4 linked regions of the Arabidopsis thaliana genome follow. The protein of the gene in region 2 purifies or fractionates together with the protein of the main gene of each other region. This does not show direct contact. Each region holds a gene or a part of one and is shown on either strand. Other genes may lie near its edges.

Region 1 (4,048 bases), on a different chromosome or scaffold from region 2:
GAGACTGATGGAAGGAGAACATGTCGGCCCATTCAACCTCGGTAACCCTGGTGAATTCACGATGCTCGAGCTCGCTAAGGTCTCTCTCTCTCTCTCTCTATACATACCTTTCGATTTTTATATATGACCCTGGGTTCTGATAATTGTGATTTGGTTGGTTTTTGTTTGAAGGTGGTCCAAGAGACAATTGATCCGAATGCAAACATAGAGTTCAGACCAAACACAGAAGACGACCCTCACAAGAGAAAGCCTGACATCACAAAGGCCAAAGAGCTTTTAGGTTGGGAACCAAAGGTCTCTCTTCGTCAGGGACTGCCTCTCATGGTCAAAGATTTCCGTCAACGTGTCTTTGGTGACCAGAAGGAAGGCTCCTCCGCAGCTGCAACCACCACCAAGACAACTTCAGCTTGAGCAAATGCAGAATCTGAGTAGCAGCCACTGCGGCTGGTAGTGGGTTTATAACAAAATTGCAAGAGCGTCGTTTCTTTAAATTTATTTCGCTTTTGATTTCTGTTTTGATAATCGTGTAAACGTAGAGTAAGAATTTGGTACCTTTACTTACTACTATTCATGGACCTCACTACAGTTTTAAAAGAAAAAAGAACTTCTCTTTTGATATTACAAAGTTCACTGGCTGCGTTTCAAGTCAAAGATAGAAGACAAGTGAAAAATACAAGGCAACACTAGTAGATTTAAGGCTCATAATCAAAACATGTTCTCACTGTTGATGCAACAATTAGGATTTGACAAGAAGAAGCGAGAATTATCATAAGAAGAGCTTCTTTCACTTGGGGTTCCTGAGGACGATAATGACTGAGTCTCCACGCAGGAACATCTTGCTGATGAATCGATCTCTGTTAACAGGAAGAGCTTTCTTCTTTCCTTTTCCGGTTTTCGGAACCTAAAAAAAAACACAGAGAACCCATGTAAGAAACAGCACTTGTCTACTAGTAAACCACAGGCAGAAAACAGATACAAAAGATGTTAACCTCAGTCCACATTTCTCTGACATTTTCAAGAACCATGTTGCAGTGCCTGTCAAAAGCCCTAACTCGGCCAAGGAGTTTCCTGTTGTTACGGCAATTGATCAACACCTGAGTGTTATTCTTAACACTCATCATCAAAACAGAGAGTGGTCCAGTGTTGAACTCCTCCTCCTCAGTCTTTCCCTGCTAAAGAATGACATTCAAGGAAGAGTATTAAACAACAATGCATCCAATACAAGATTGCCTTGTTAAGTACTCTCATCCAAAACTAGCAACATTCATTCATATAGCCAAAACTCTAGCTGACCATCTGTGATGAATTCTCAGGACAGTGTTTTCTATTCACTAACACAACTACTTGAAGATACAGAAACCACATGACTTGTAATGGTACATATTCATCAACAAATTACATAAAATGAAGGATCAGGCAACAAAAGATTCCAGGCACTAAAAAGCTAGAGACATAGACATGGTACAGATATCGAATTTAGGGTTCTATGTTTATGCTTGATAGATCGAGAAATCAGTAACGAGAAAGACGGGGAGAGTTACTTACGTTGGTATCCTCTTCCATTGGTTTACTGAAATCGAGAAAAAAAAAAGTGTTAGAGAAGATCTAGAAGAAGAAGAATGATAAAAATTAGAAGACGAAGATGAGAAAACCTAGAACTAGAATTACCTCATGTTCACTTGAAGCTCGATGAAATTCGGCGAAACGGTGGAAGCTGAAAAGGAGGAAAACGATGAATTTAGAAACTATCAAGAGATTTTCATAGAAACGCAGATCGAAGAAATTAGGGTTTTACCTGCTATACGCTAAATCCCGCTTTCGTTTTCCAAAAAGATCTCTCTCACACGAAGAAGAATGATGAGGTGTACTCGAGAAATCAAGTGTAAACAAACTCAGTGGCGGTTTAAGAGGGCTGAATTGAGGCCTATCTAATTATTGGGCCTTAAGATACTAAAGCCCATTAAATATCCTCATATGTTTTTTGTTTATAAATTAAGGCCTAATTGGAATAAATTTCAGTTTAGTTATTATTTTCATAGCCCATTCAAATATTCACAGGAGTACAGAGATTTTGACTTTTCAAAATGGTTTCACCTTTTACATGAAATAAAAATGCTCAGATTCGTGGTTTAGCCTGGTCAGCTCTTCTCATTGGATGGGTTGTTCAAAGTACAAGGTCCCTTTCGTTACATTTCTTAAGTAGGGTTTGAGCAATTTGTAACTTATAAAATGAAGTAACAACTTCCAGGACAGGTTTGAGCTCAACGATTAGTAAGACGTAACTGATTATGAAGATGACCAAAACCCGTCCGGTATGCTTTCCTCATACGTTTGCTCTTTCGAAAATCTTCTAGTACTTGGGTCTACAAGATATATATGTAACTGTTAATAAGAAGAAATCCCATGTTTGAAAATATTTAATCAATCATTAGAAAAACTTGCCTTCTGATATTGCTTTCTACAGCGGTTTCTCATTCGAATTCTCTCAGGAAAATAACGCTCCTGCTTGACAACAAATGGAAAGAGTTAAACAGGTTTTGTTGCTCAAATGATGATACAGAGGAGGATGCTTACACACACTGCATGGTCTTCACTTGAGAGATGCGTCCTCAAATCTTCAAGGCTTTTGCAATCACAAAGACACAACATGCAAGAAAACATTTTGGTAGACGGTTCACCCCTTTGACTTTGACTGCACTTGCGAAGAACGTGGTTTCTTGTCTCTGAAACAGAGAGCGTAATTATATAGCTCAGAAACAGAGTCATTAGTGGATGATGATGATAAGGAGAGGAGAAAAAAACACCTGCAACAAGTAAGCTTTTCCAAAGCCACTCTGCAGAAGTGAGCAGGACAGACATTTTGTAAGGCCTGTACGAATAAGCCAGAAAAAGGTTGTACTTCGTCTCTTGTAGTAAGTCGGCGATTAAATTTTCGAACATCATCACCACACCATCGGATATGAGCATGATTGTAGCCGGAGGAGGATTACGAGCTTTCCACTGCTTCATATTTATAAACATGCGACTGTATATGACTTCTGTTTCAGACAGTAACAGAAAAGCATTTCAGTAGAAATTCCAGAGAGATGGATATAATTAACCGAATGGACTAACCGTCGATGGAATGTGCAAGATCGACTCCAGTGGAAGAGAGCTCTCGCAGGATGTGATCAGGGGTTTTGTTGTGGTCGCCACATCCGGTGATGGAGACAGGACCAGAGTAGCCTAGTTTCTTGAACGCCCCTTCTAAACTCGGACGGACCTGACGAGCATCATAACCCTCTGGAATCGGACAGTCCTTCATGTCCCACCACACCACTATTGGAGCTGTCGCGTACTCAGGCTTCGCAGTGTAGTTCTTTGCCCACGTCCTCGTCAAATAGTCAAGTTCTGGATGTATACGGTTTGTAACCTCCTGCGAGAATTTATATTTTAGAGATCAAAATCTATATTTTTATTCAACATTATAGTTGACTGGGTCTAGAGGAGGATGTTTACTTACTTTCACTGCATGCTTTCCACTCGAGACATGCCTCCTGAAACCCTCCACGCTTTGGCCCTGGTAAGAGCAAGATTTGCAATAAAACATGGGAGATACCTCACAACTGCTGCTGCACTTGTCCTGAACAAATTCCCTTTTGGTCTCAAGTAAATTTCTCCAGATCCACTCTCCACAAGGTCTCAGTGCCGAACCTGCGAAAGGCTCAGTTGAATAAGCCAGAAAAAGGTTGTATTTCGTGTGTTGTTGTAGACGGGACAGATCCCAAGCGAAGACATGCTGCCACTGATCGGATACGAGCATCATTGTAGCCGGAGGAGGATTAAGATCTCGCCACTCCAGCATACTCGAATACATGAGTGAGCATCTGCTTTCTGTTGAAATTGACTTGAGATGTTGTTCAAATTTAAACCAAGCTAGCACTAAATTCATTCAAAGAGATCGATAGCAATTGGACTAACCGGGTATGATTTGTGCTACAGCGACTCCGGTGGAAGAGAGCCCTCGCAGGATCTGACAAGGGGTTTCTCTTTGGTCACCATAGCCGGT
Region 2 (3,917 bases):
AATTTTATCACTGAAGAGAGAGCAACATAAGTTGCATCATATGGGGGGGAAGTTTCTGAACACGTACGTATCTCTGTGTGGGTTCACTTGTTTGTTTTCGAAATATCTGTGGATGGTTTAGTCTTCTCATTTTCGTTGATAAGAGAATAACAGAAAGCGTTTTTTAAAACTCTTAACTTTTTAGGGTTCTTCATTTCAACATATTTTTCCGCTCTTCTTTCCAAATGTCCAAGTCATATCTTATCACTCACAATCACAAGTTCACAACATTTGTCGCGAAAATAAATTAGGCTTCTGGTTTTGTGGACATAATCACTTTGATCTCTTGACTTGGTCGTTCAAGTCGCTAAATTTCTTGAAAAAAACAAGAACCAGTCGATTTTACAACTACCTATGCTGAAGCCGCTCGGGCCGCGGTCCAGTCATGGTGGCCGAAACTAAACCATGAAATCGCGGTTGCCGCTTTTTACCATTACCTATGTCGAATGTTTTATTTCCTACTACAACTCAAGTGTCTTCTCCGTTTTTATCCGACCATCTTTATCAGATTAATAAACGAATGAATATAATAAATGGATAAAAACGACCGCTTTTAGAAAACCATCATTTTATGATTTCTGATTTCTACCAAGATTAAAAAGACGAATCATTCATTATAGAAATTTGAATCGTGCTATATTATACATAAGATGTGGGAAGTCTCTCAATGACCACATTAACAAAACATGTCAATTTTTCAAACATCTTAGTAACCCAAAACACAGAACTAGTTCCTCTTTCTCTCTTCCCTCCATGTCTTAGAGATTTTACTTGCTGTGTACCTTAAATGCATAAGTGACGAGCTGAAGATGGCGGATTCTCATGGATACTGCAGAGAATGTCTCACGAGCCGAAGCTACATTACGAGGGTTAACTAAACTATCTCCTCACAGGTGGCACAGCCCCTCTTCCTCCTCCTGTTCCACGCCCAGTACCCTGAGTATGACATCACAAAATTCAATTAGTTGCTTTGAATTGTCAACATTGTCTTCTTGAGATGTAAATCAGAAACATTAAGGACTTAGGCAAAGGTGAACTTACTTTGGCTCGCATTGCAGCACCTCTACCTCTGCCTACACCTAGTGAAGCGCTCTTTCCCTGTATTGATCAAGTAAACAAGATGTTTATTAGCTTCCATGTTTATAAAGCATAGATGGGATTGATATTCTCCATCACGTTCAAGAAGTTTACCTTGCCCCTAACATCCTTGAACATTGGAGCATTCTTTAACATGTCTGGTATGACTAAAAACCTGTCAAGATTTTACAAAATGTCACATAACAGTCAGCTAAGTTGAAAAAGAATACTCCAACAAAAGTAAATAAGTAGGAAACAAGCAGAGATGTCAAAAGGAGTTTATATCTAGCAGCACCTGACTAAGCTGCCTCGAATGAAGACATGCTCAAGCTGTGATACCTTACCATCCTGTTCCATAAAGAGCCCAAACGAAAGTTTAGTAACAATCATGAATAGAAGATACTAAATTTCTAATCACAATCTACAAATGTGTAAGAGCATATATCTGTAGTAACAATTCAAGATCAATTATATAGTCTTGTAATTTGTTTAATCGCAAACATGTCATGATTCTACATAGTAACAACATAAGCAAGACCTGTAATAACATTTCTTCTCTACTACTAGCATATACAGGAACTAAACCCAATCACTACTAGGAACACAATTTAAGGGTCAAGAATTTCACAAGGATTCTCAATTCTCCTCCAAAATTGAACTACTCTCAACATCACAAGAAAGAGACAACCTAAGAAGCTAAACTGTTCACAGCTCCTACATAGGCAATGGCCAAGAAACGAAACCCTAGTAACTTAGTAAGACATTACCTTGGCCGTATAGGTGATGTTCTCGAGCTGACAGTTCCAATTATCCTCACACTCGATCATGCTTCCTCTGTAAAGCTCACCGCTCTTCATCTCTACACTCACGATATGACCGGACGATTCGTGAAGAAGCTTCACCGGAATCCCCAAACTCCGACTCATCTTCGTCGATTCACTAAACCCTAATTGAACCTTCCCTTTTCCTTTTTAGCAGCCAAAAAGCTTTGAACAATTTAGCTTCTCTCGTTAAAGCTCCACACTCTTATGGACTTCTTATTTAGATTTTGGATCGGCCCATTAGTTTATTGGGCCCATTAGTTGAATGTTGTGTGCCTTTTTTGTTACTTTGTTTTTACTCTTAAGTTTTATTAGTATAAGATAAGATAAGATTTGTTTAGTTGACCCAAAAAAATAAAAAGATAAGAACTGTTTGTAAATTAAAGCTCCTCTACACTTGTGACAACTAGCCGAGTGGTGATTAGATTCAAAAAAAAAAGTTGTGACAACTCAGATTCTCTAAACAGATGTTGCAATGTACAAATCTTCTTCACAGATTCTGATTTAATTGCCAATTTGGCTTCTTGTAGTCCATATTAATCAAAGATTCCATATTAATTGTTTGGAGCGTTACACAAAATAGTTTGCCTATAAATACTCCACAATTTTTATATGATTTTAGTAGCTCAATAGAGAATAACAATAGAAAAGAAATGGAAGGAACAATGAGGTGCTCAGCGAATTACGTCCCGCTTTCTCCGATCAGCTTTCTCGAGAGAGCTGCTGTCGTCTTCGGCTCCAGAACCTCTGTCGTGTATGGTGATATTCAGTACACGTGGCACCAAACACGTGACCGTTGCGTCCGCCTTGCATCTGCTCTCTCTGACCTTGGTCTCTCTCGCCATGACGTTGTAAGTGGTTAAACGACTTTTATATATTGGTCATACTTTTTTCTTTTGTTTAAACTATTTCTTTTATCAGGTGGCTGCTTTAGCGCCAAATGTTCCTGCGTTATGCGAGCTTTATTTTGGAGCTCCGATGGCTGGAGCAGTACTTTGCGTGTTGAACACGACATTCGATTCTCAGATGCTTGCGATGGCGCTGGAGAAAACGAAGCCAAAAGTATTCTTCGTTGACTCTGAGTTCCTCTCTGTCGCTGAAGAATCTCTCAGTCTCCTCTCAAACATTGAAGAAAAACCTCTCATCATCACAATCACAGAAAATCCAACAGAGCAATCAAAATATGAACAATACGAGGATTTTCTCTCCACTGGAAACCCTAATTTCAAACCAATACGACCAGTTGACGAATGTGATCCAATCGCCCTCAACTTCACATCTGGAACCACATCGACTCCCAAATGTGTCGTCTATAGTCATCGCGGTGCCTATCTGAACGCAACTGCTGTTGGTGTTATGAATGAGATGAAACCAATGCCGGTTTATCTATGTACAGTTCCTATGTATCATTGTAGCGGGTGGTGCTATATTTGGACAGTTACGGCTTTTGGAGGAGTCATCGTCTGTCTCAGGGAAGTCAACGACGAAGTTATATTTGATAGTATCGTGAAGCACAAGGTAACTAACTTTGGTGGCTCGCCTCCGGTTCTCAACATGATTGCTAATGCAAGAGACTCGGTCAAGAAGTCGTTTCCATGGACCGTACAGGTTATGAGCGGAGGATCCTCTCCTCCTGAGGTAAAACTAACTATCACAGAGTTTTGAATTACATGTTTGTTCAATCAGGCTTATTTGGTTGAACTTCCATATTTTGAGGTTATATATAATCAATCCCTTGCTTTATACGTTAGCTCCGTCACAGTACATTAATATTTAACATAGAATCATAGTAAAGATATTAATTTATTTGGACAGGTCATGTTGAAACTCAAGAAGCTAGGATTCAAAGTGATGATGGCTTATGGATGCTCGGAGGTGTATGGACTAGGAACAGCTTGTTTGTGGATGCCCGAGTGGGAGACTCTACCTGAAGAGGAGAGTTTAAGGCTCAAGGCAAGAGATGGTCTCAACCATTTCGCC
Region 3 (3,691 bases), on a different chromosome or scaffold from region 2:
TTTGATGTCTCCGTGAATCACACATTTTCCATGACAATAGGCCAGTGCCTGACTAAGACTTGCAATGTACTGAAATCAAGGAAAAGCCATCAGCTTCACCACAAGAAGCATGATAATCTTTCAGGGAGAGGGAGGGAGAGGGAGCGAGAGAGAGACACTCACAGTGGCGGCTTGTTGGTTTCGTAGAATTCGCTTGTCCGCTTTACTTTTGGCGCTTTGGGAAAGATCGTAAAATTTAGGTTATGTGCTTGACAGTGACACAATCACATTTTCAAGTTTTGATACACATTCTGTTTCAAGTTCAGTAAACTTTGTGTCAACATGGTTGAAATCGATGTCGTCCTAATCGCTCATGATAAATGGGAGCCTCTCGGCAATGAACTCAACATGTAAGACTTGTTTATGTTCTTTGCATTTTACATTGTCTGCATTTTTTGTCTTCTTTAAAGTCTCATTCATTACAAAAAGAGAAAAAGAGCAACTAAGCATTAACAGAAGGGATGAAGATATAAGATCAAAGCAGTGGATCCAGAGTAAAAGCACAAGAATATTGATGTGGACTTCTTGATCAATTTATAATAACTGCAAATCTACCATCAAGTTTCCTCAGAACTAATGCTTAGTACCAAAACAAAGATGACTATGGATGCATAAACCAAGCTAAGAAGATGACTAATAGAGGTTTGAGCATTGTATCAAGAGTGAAAAGTACAAGCCATCACATTCATCGGTGGGGGTTCATTGCAATCTTTTTAGTACAAGAAAAGAGTATTCATGTAGACTTCTTACAGAATCAATTCATCGTAACTGCGAATCTACCACCAAGATTTCTCATAGCTAGTGCTTAGTACAAAAAGATCATAACCAATGAATATAACGAGCTAAGAAGATCTGCCCACTGGTTCAAGAGCTTCAACAGTGACAATGCTGTTTCCTCTAATCACCTGCTCCCAAAACCAAAGTAAAACATCAGTCAAGAGCAGCAGAAGATTAACGACAAAGGGACACAGAATCGAGAGACTTACCACCATCCCGATGTCGGTTTTGTCGTTACCGTTCACCTCAACAGTGTTATCCACAACAAGATTCATGAACTGATCAAACCCACGAAGAGTTCCAGTAACCATTCGGTTAGCATTAAGCTTGACTGCATTTCAAATACAATTCATCAATCTCAACACATCAAGAAAAAATCCACTCTTTGCTAAAATCAAAACACAATCACCAAAAAAAAACTACTTTGAGTTCGATTCTAGACACTATAACTAAAATCAGTAATACCAAATCCAGTTCGATTCACAGAATAAAGTTGCAATCACATCTCAGCTAATGTGTTATACAAAACTGAAGTTCCCTAACTATCGATAAAAGAAGATGAAGATATTGAACTTACTTTGGAGCTTCTTATCCATGTACCTGCATCGAACGAAACAAAAACAAACAACAGATTAAGCACAAAAATTAAATCAGAAACACGAAGATATAGAAACAGAAAGAGAGAAATAAGAACAAGGGCTTACTTCTTAAGATCCGGAGGCTGACCTGAACGACTCATAGTTGCAAAATCGGAATTGAGCTTAGGGTTTTCGCTCTCGGCTTGAAGAAGACAGAGTTTGCTCTGAAACCCTAAAGTTTTGATTTTTGGAAGTCTAGTGTTAGCGTCTTCTTGTTTTTTACTACTCCTTTAAGCCCAATAATCTACTCAGGCCCAATAAACTATAAGGCCCAACTCATATGACTATTGACATGTTTCGTCGAAGTGTATTTTTTTTTTTTTTTTTAAGTGATTTTCCTTTTTCGTCGAAGTGTATTCTCTAGACGCTATTAATCTGATGTAATATCTTACAATCGTCTAACCAATTAATTAAATATTTTTGTTGTGGTCTAACCAATTGATCAAATATTTAGCGTCTAACCAATTGATCAAATATTTTTGATTTCACCAATCGATAAATTTTAAAAGTTACACTAAAATTTCACCACAACATCAAAAATGATAAGAAAAAAATTAAAATGACGAAGACATTTTTATGTCATTGTAGTTCTAATGCGGCCAATTGTTCGAATTGTTTCTATCGAATGATATTACATATACCATTTTGTTTTTCAGCATTACATATACAATTTTTCTGCCACCAATATGCATTATAATGAATTTAATTTAGGTAATAAGTGGTAAGTGGTGACACATCTATTATACTCACTAATTTTATATTTTATCTACATATACTATATTTAGACTAACAAAATTATAAATTTCACAAGGTTAAATTTTTTTCTTTATATATATATATTATTTAAACATAATGCATTATCATTTTTCTCTTATTATATTTTTAATTGAAAAATGATAAATATTTCTCTAAATTTTTCTACCTTTACATCTCATAAGCTTTATGCTTTTCTAGATTGTTGAGAGAGAGACAAAGAAATACTCTGGTGATGTAGCAATAGCAGTCTATGTTGATCGTTGTGTAATCGTGAGCTTACTTTGAGCGAACGATTTGCATTTCAGATTGTTTAGTATTTCTCTAATAATCAATTGATTTTTCTCGCGATTTACTTTATAAGTTTCAATTTGTGTTTCCTATTTACAAATTTAGCTCGGGATAACAACAATATATCAGTCCAAAATAAAAATTTCTCCACTGTAATACTTGAATGTACAGATATACCATGCCACAAGCTCTCAATTTCTAATACCGATTCATCGACAACAAAATAAATATAAATAAACGATTAATATAAAATTGGTTGATGTAAAACACTGAAACCTATTAATAATAAGTTGTGTATGAGAATGTATCGACTAGTTTTGAAAAGAAATGGAGTAAGAGCCGGTGTTGGGATCTTCACAGCCTTGAAGTTGTCTACACTCATCCCACATCGACCAAATATCGAGTTTCCCATCTCCTTTAGTTTTGCTCTTAAAACACCACCAAAACATATTATCTCATATGATCAAAAGTGTGGTTCAAGACTTTAAAATTTCAATATACTGTTAATAATACTTTTATTTTACGATAATTGGCTCCACTTTTTTTTTTAATAATCTTAAATTATTTTGTTTGAGTTTTGACCCCAAAATTTTATAGCCGGTCCTGCCAAAGACATTAAAATTTTAGTGTCCTTGAAACGTTGGTCCAGCAGAGGCAATTCAACATCATCCTCGCATATGGCAACAACCCATCTTGATCTATATCATGCAAATTTAAAGAACGTCCCATAGAAGAAACTTCATGATGGACATACCAAGAAGACAAAACCTTGATCTTTTTTGAGAAGACCGAACCTTAAATTTTATTTTTGTAGTTTCTTTTGGATCGTATTGCATTATTTATGTTGTATTAATAAATCGTGGATGCATTTGAGATTTTGATTTTGTTAATGACTGACTTTTAACTCTCAAACTTGCAAATCCTGCTTCATTTTCTGATGTCTAAAACGTGAATATTGATTTTGCTGTTAAAAAAAAATACAAAAAAAACTAAGCTATATACTTTAAATCCTGCTTCACAATCCTGATTTTGTATGTCTCTGAATTGTTTGTGTGATTTTATCATGTCTAACATCACAGCTTGCAGAAACTGAAGTGTGGATAAATCAGAAACCCATTACAAACAAAATGTATGGATATATGCTCATCATTTATTACACGTTTCAAATTGTATCTAATTTTTTTTAAAAATGT
Region 4 (3,947 bases), on a different chromosome or scaffold from region 2:
ATTAAATTTAATGATGATGGAATAGTTAAACACAAATTGTAATCCACGCTAAGATGTGAGATTTTGATATTGTGACAAACAAAAATGAGATTGATATTGTAAAATCAAATTTGAAAGAAATAAAAAAAAGGATGGTGAAGTTCATTGAACAGCTTGCATCTAAAGTGAATCTTTTAGTTACTTGCAAATGGTCCATGAGAATAATATACGAAGATGGTTAACATTTTTATGTAATATTTGTTTACCGTTAGAATTTAGAAAGAAGCAATCTCTCGTACTCTTTCTATTCTCTTCCCCAAAAACCAAAGAGAAAAGAATAAAAGAGAAAGTGAAGTTGGTGAAAGTTCTTTTTGGATTAGTTGTAAATCCATGTGTTTAAAATTCGTTTACTTGTTATATTAGTTGGAGATCCCCGACCACGAAATGTTAAAAAACACATCAAATTGTATAATGACTTGGACAGAAAATAATTTAGAATTTATAGACAAAACACAAATACCTACTTTTCTACCAAAAAAGGCATTTCAACTCATAGTTTTGTGGTTGATAATACTTGATATGAATGTAAGTTGGAACAAAGCCCACCCCACGTGTGTGCCGACGACGACCCACGTGCCGAACATTCCGTTGTGGTTACATGTTGTTGTTGTTGCTGTTTCATTGGAGATTGATAGATATTGTACCGATTTCATTCATTTTGCCTCACACACAATACTTCGTGGGGCACATGCTTCCTTGATTCCTTCCACTTTCACTTCTCTTATTTCTCCTTTTCTTTCTTTTAGCTTCTTCTTATTCATATAACAACATCTTTAATAGTAACAGAGGAGCCAAACGGCATGATTATGATCTCACTTTGATAAAAAGAGGGCTAAAAAAGGGTTTAAAATACTAATAAAGCAAAAGAAAAACAACCGTTGGAGCTCATTTACCCAAAATTCAGATCCCCACAACAAAAGTATTTTGCTTTCTCTAAGGTTTGGACCATTCAAAATTAGCTTTTTCATTACTACATTGATTTCTCTAACTTGAAATGATTATATAACTTATACCTGACTAACACATATGATAAGAGATTATAACACAAGGACAGTAAGTATCCAAATTTCCTTGTATCCATCAAATCAAGGGTTCAGAAAAATCTATAGGGAACAAACAGGACCGAACAAGGGTAAAATGACATAAGTAGAGGAGCCAAAGAAGAGGAATTCATCAAATAAAATCAAGATTGATTCATGCCGGTACAGAGAGCAAAGTAAGTCAAAGTCTCATATTACAGAAGATGATTACTTGGGGGTGAAAAGTCATAAGCTAAGATCTTCCAACTGGTTCGAGAGCTTCAACAGTAACAATGCTGTTTCCTCTTATCACCTGCATCCAGGAAAAAAGTAGAATGTTTAAACAAAACAAATGACAAGAAGATTCTGTGGGTGAGTTAGAGAGATGGAGAGAAACGTACCACCATCCCAATGTCAGTTTTGTCATCACCATTGACTTCAACAGTGTTATCCACAACAAGATTCATGAACTGATCAAAGCCACGGAGAGTTCCAACAACCATTCTGTTGGCATTAAGCTTAACTACATTGGGGGTAACAACAAAAAAAAGCAGACAAGAACTTCACTTGACCATACCAAGTTACAAAAACATGATAACAAACAAAGTCTAGTAAAATTCTAAATGAACGAGATACAAAACCTAAGAATCCATACAACTCTTAACTTTATGTGACATTGATATATTCTTAACCAAGATTAGCATTGAATCTATATATTGGAATTGTAAACACAAGTTTAATTAGTACACAAAAACACGCAATCCCAAGTAATACATGAACTGAAATGGCATTAATATAGCTCTTAAGTTGAGAAATCGGGTTGCAAGCAATTCTCATCTGAGTAAGAGATTTAGGTTCGACTTAAAGACGCTTTAAAATTGAAAAAGTGGAAGAAGAGATCGAGCTTACTTTGGAGTTTCTTGTCCATGTACCTGCATTACATGAAACAAACGAAGAACAAAATCAGAAACACGAAGAAGTAGGAGCTCTATGAAACCAAAAACTTCAACTAAATGGATACAGAGAAATTAGAAATCAAAAGGAAAAAAGTGGCGAAGAGAACTTACTTCTTGAGATCTGGAGGCTGACCTGATCGACTCATACTTGCAGAATCGGAGAAGACGAAAAACGAGAGCTTAGGGTTTTTCTCAGCTACGAACACTTTACTCGATTGATTCCAGTCTCCAGAGCGAAAGAGAAAGAAAAAAAATGACGTCGGTCTGCAAAACTAGAGTGGTCGAAGCACCGTCGTTTCAAGCCCATTGTTAATGGGTTTGACCGCAAAAAAAGCCTTTCACATGTTTCAAAACATAAAAGTAGGGGTGTTCCGAGAATCGAACTCGGGACCTCTCGCACCCGAAGCGAGAATCATACCACTAGACCAAACACCCGGTGTTACTAATTAGAGATATTTAGTCATTTATATTACTAAATTATTTATAACAATTTATCTTGAATTGTGATTACCCATCCAAAATTATCTGAATTACATGTAGTCAAAAGCCATAAAACTAAAAGAAAGATACCCACTGCATCAATTAATTACCAAACCTTTCTCCTTACTAGGAAATATTGCCTGTGATATGGCTCCTCATAGAGACTAAAGAACATAAAAGAGCATTCTTTAAACATCCATGTTGTTTATGTCTTCGATAACAACCAAGAGCATCAAGAAATGAGGATATGATGAGTTTTAAGTCATTGCAAGAGGCTATAAGTGGGGTCTGATGCTTATAATGCACTAACAGCTCAGGGCTAATAAGAAATATATGATCATAATCTGCTAATCTGTTTTCTTTTTCTTGCAAGAGATGCCATTCAACACAATCTAAGCGATAACATTCTAATCAAGAATTCCAAAAGCCGGACTTGGGATATTTGATGTCTTTATCATACAATCTCTCGTATAGTTGTTAATTGCATTCACCACATGCCACAAATCAACTCTTTTCATTCTTAAAATTGACTTTTTTGGTTGAATAATTGGGCCTCAAAAACAGATTATGACAAGTTAACAACGATCTGGCTTGGTTTGATTTCGGAACCAGCACGACATACTAAAACTTGCATCGGACTTTCTAATCTGATTCTGATGAGCAACCATAGCATTAAATATCTCGATAAAGTATCCATTCGCCAAAGTTAAAAAGAGAGAAAATGTAAAATATCAATAAGCCAACTAACAGTAACACGACGCGATCAGTAACTTAACATTTTTTTTCTCAATACCAAAAACTCCAAATACAAAAAAACACAGCTTATAATGTTCTCAAAGCAACTGGAAAGATAAATTGGAGAGAGACAAAACTAACTTCGAAGTGTACCCAAGAAAATACCCACAGTCTCAAGAGCACATTGCAACGATGATGAGCCTCATCGTGCAATCAGAGTCTTCTTCCTCTTCGTCCACCCTTTCGGCGTGTACTGTCTGTGGGAATCGGAGTCACATCCTCTGCAAAATGCATTCAAGAAAGATTCAGCTTCCAATGAGCAATCATAACAAAACAAAACAAAACAACTTGAGTGAGACTAAGTTTGTGTGTTTACCAATACGACCAATCTTCATGCCAGAACGAGCAAGGGCTCTAAGAGCAGACTGAGCACCAGGACCTGGAGTCTTGGTTTTGTTTCCTCCAGTAGCACGGAGCTTCACGTGCATGGCAGTGATGCCAAGCTCCTGTCACATAAACCATTATAGATTATCATCCAGAACCTCAAAGTCAATTAAAAAAAGGCATGGACATCGAATCATTTCAGACCTTGCATCTTTGAGCAACATCTTGAGCTGCAAGCATAGCAGCATAAGGAGAGGACTCATCACGGTCAGCCTTCACCTTCATGCCACCTGCAAAAGGTCACATAATCATTATATTTCTCGAAATATAAATG

The links.
Region 1: the proteins of SmD3 (region 2) and AT3G62840 fractionate together in Arabidopsis thaliana (co-fractionation; one large-scale study listed by BioGRID). This does not show direct contact.
Region 3: the proteins of SmD3 (region 2) and SNRNP-G fractionate together in Arabidopsis thaliana (co-fractionation; one large-scale study listed by BioGRID). This does not show direct contact.
Region 4: the proteins of SmD3 (region 2) and AT3G11500 fractionate together in Arabidopsis thaliana (co-fractionation; one large-scale study listed by BioGRID). This does not show direct contact.

Annotation. Positions count from the first base shown.
Region 1 is NC_003074.8:23,234,943-23,238,990, forward strand, and holds AT3G62840 (Small nuclear ribonucleoprotein family protein), read right to left. Parts: upstream 1,875-4,048; 5' UTR 1,796-1,874; intron 1,715-1,795; 5' UTR 1,674-1,714; coding exon 1,669-1,673; intron 1,571-1,668; coding exon 1,546-1,570; intron 1,173-1,545; coding exon 990-1,172; intron 902-989; coding exon 785-901; 3' UTR 548-784; downstream 1-547. Other genes in the region: AUD1 (NAD(P)-binding Rossmann-fold superfamily protein), read left to right, coding at 1-79, 172-411; AT3G62850 (zinc finger protein-like protein), read right to left, coding at 2,545-3,038, 3,115-3,415, 3,503-3,873, 3,961-4,048.
Region 2 is NC_003070.9:28,624,082-28,627,998, reverse strand, and holds SmD3 (snRNP core protein SMD3), read right to left. Parts: upstream 2,129-3,917; 5' UTR 2,043-2,128; coding exon 1,884-2,042; intron 1,465-1,883; coding exon 1,412-1,464; intron 1,292-1,411; coding exon 1,231-1,291; intron 1,138-1,230; coding exon 1,081-1,137; intron 976-1,080; coding exon 919-975; 3' UTR 591-918; downstream 1-590. Other genes in the region: AT1G76290 (AMP-dependent synthetase and ligase family protein), read left to right, coding at 2,591-2,788, 2,859-3,575, 3,753-3,917. UniProt on the Arabidopsis thaliana protein: Core component of the spliceosomal U1, U2, U4 and U5 small nuclear ribonucleoproteins (snRNPs), the building blocks of the spliceosome. May play a minor role in the splicing of cellular pre-mRNAs.
Region 3 is NC_003071.7:10,180,217-10,183,907, reverse strand, and holds SNRNP-G (Putative small nuclear ribonucleoprotein G), read right to left. Parts: upstream 1,658-3,691; 5' UTR 1,556-1,657; coding exon 1,521-1,555; intron 1,417-1,520; coding exon 1,394-1,416; exon of another isoform or gene 1,148-1,393; coding exon 1,026-1,147; intron 945-1,025; coding exon 882-944; 3' UTR 538-881; downstream 1-537. UniProt on the Arabidopsis thaliana protein: Probable common Sm protein, is found in U1 and U2 snRNPs and may be part of the spliceosome.
Region 4 is NC_003074.8:3,620,315-3,624,261, forward strand, and holds AT3G11500 (Small nuclear ribonucleoprotein family protein), read right to left. Parts: upstream 2,293-3,947; 5' UTR 2,161-2,292; coding exon 2,126-2,160; intron 1,991-2,125; coding exon 1,968-1,990; intron 1,582-1,967; coding exon 1,460-1,581; intron 1,372-1,459; coding exon 1,312-1,371; 3' UTR 1,291-1,311; exon of another isoform or gene 1,019-1,290; intron 811-1,018; 3' UTR 648-810; downstream 1-647. Other genes in the region: AT3G11510 (Ribosomal protein S11 family protein), read right to left, coding at 3,443-3,510, 3,606-3,735, 3,818-3,903.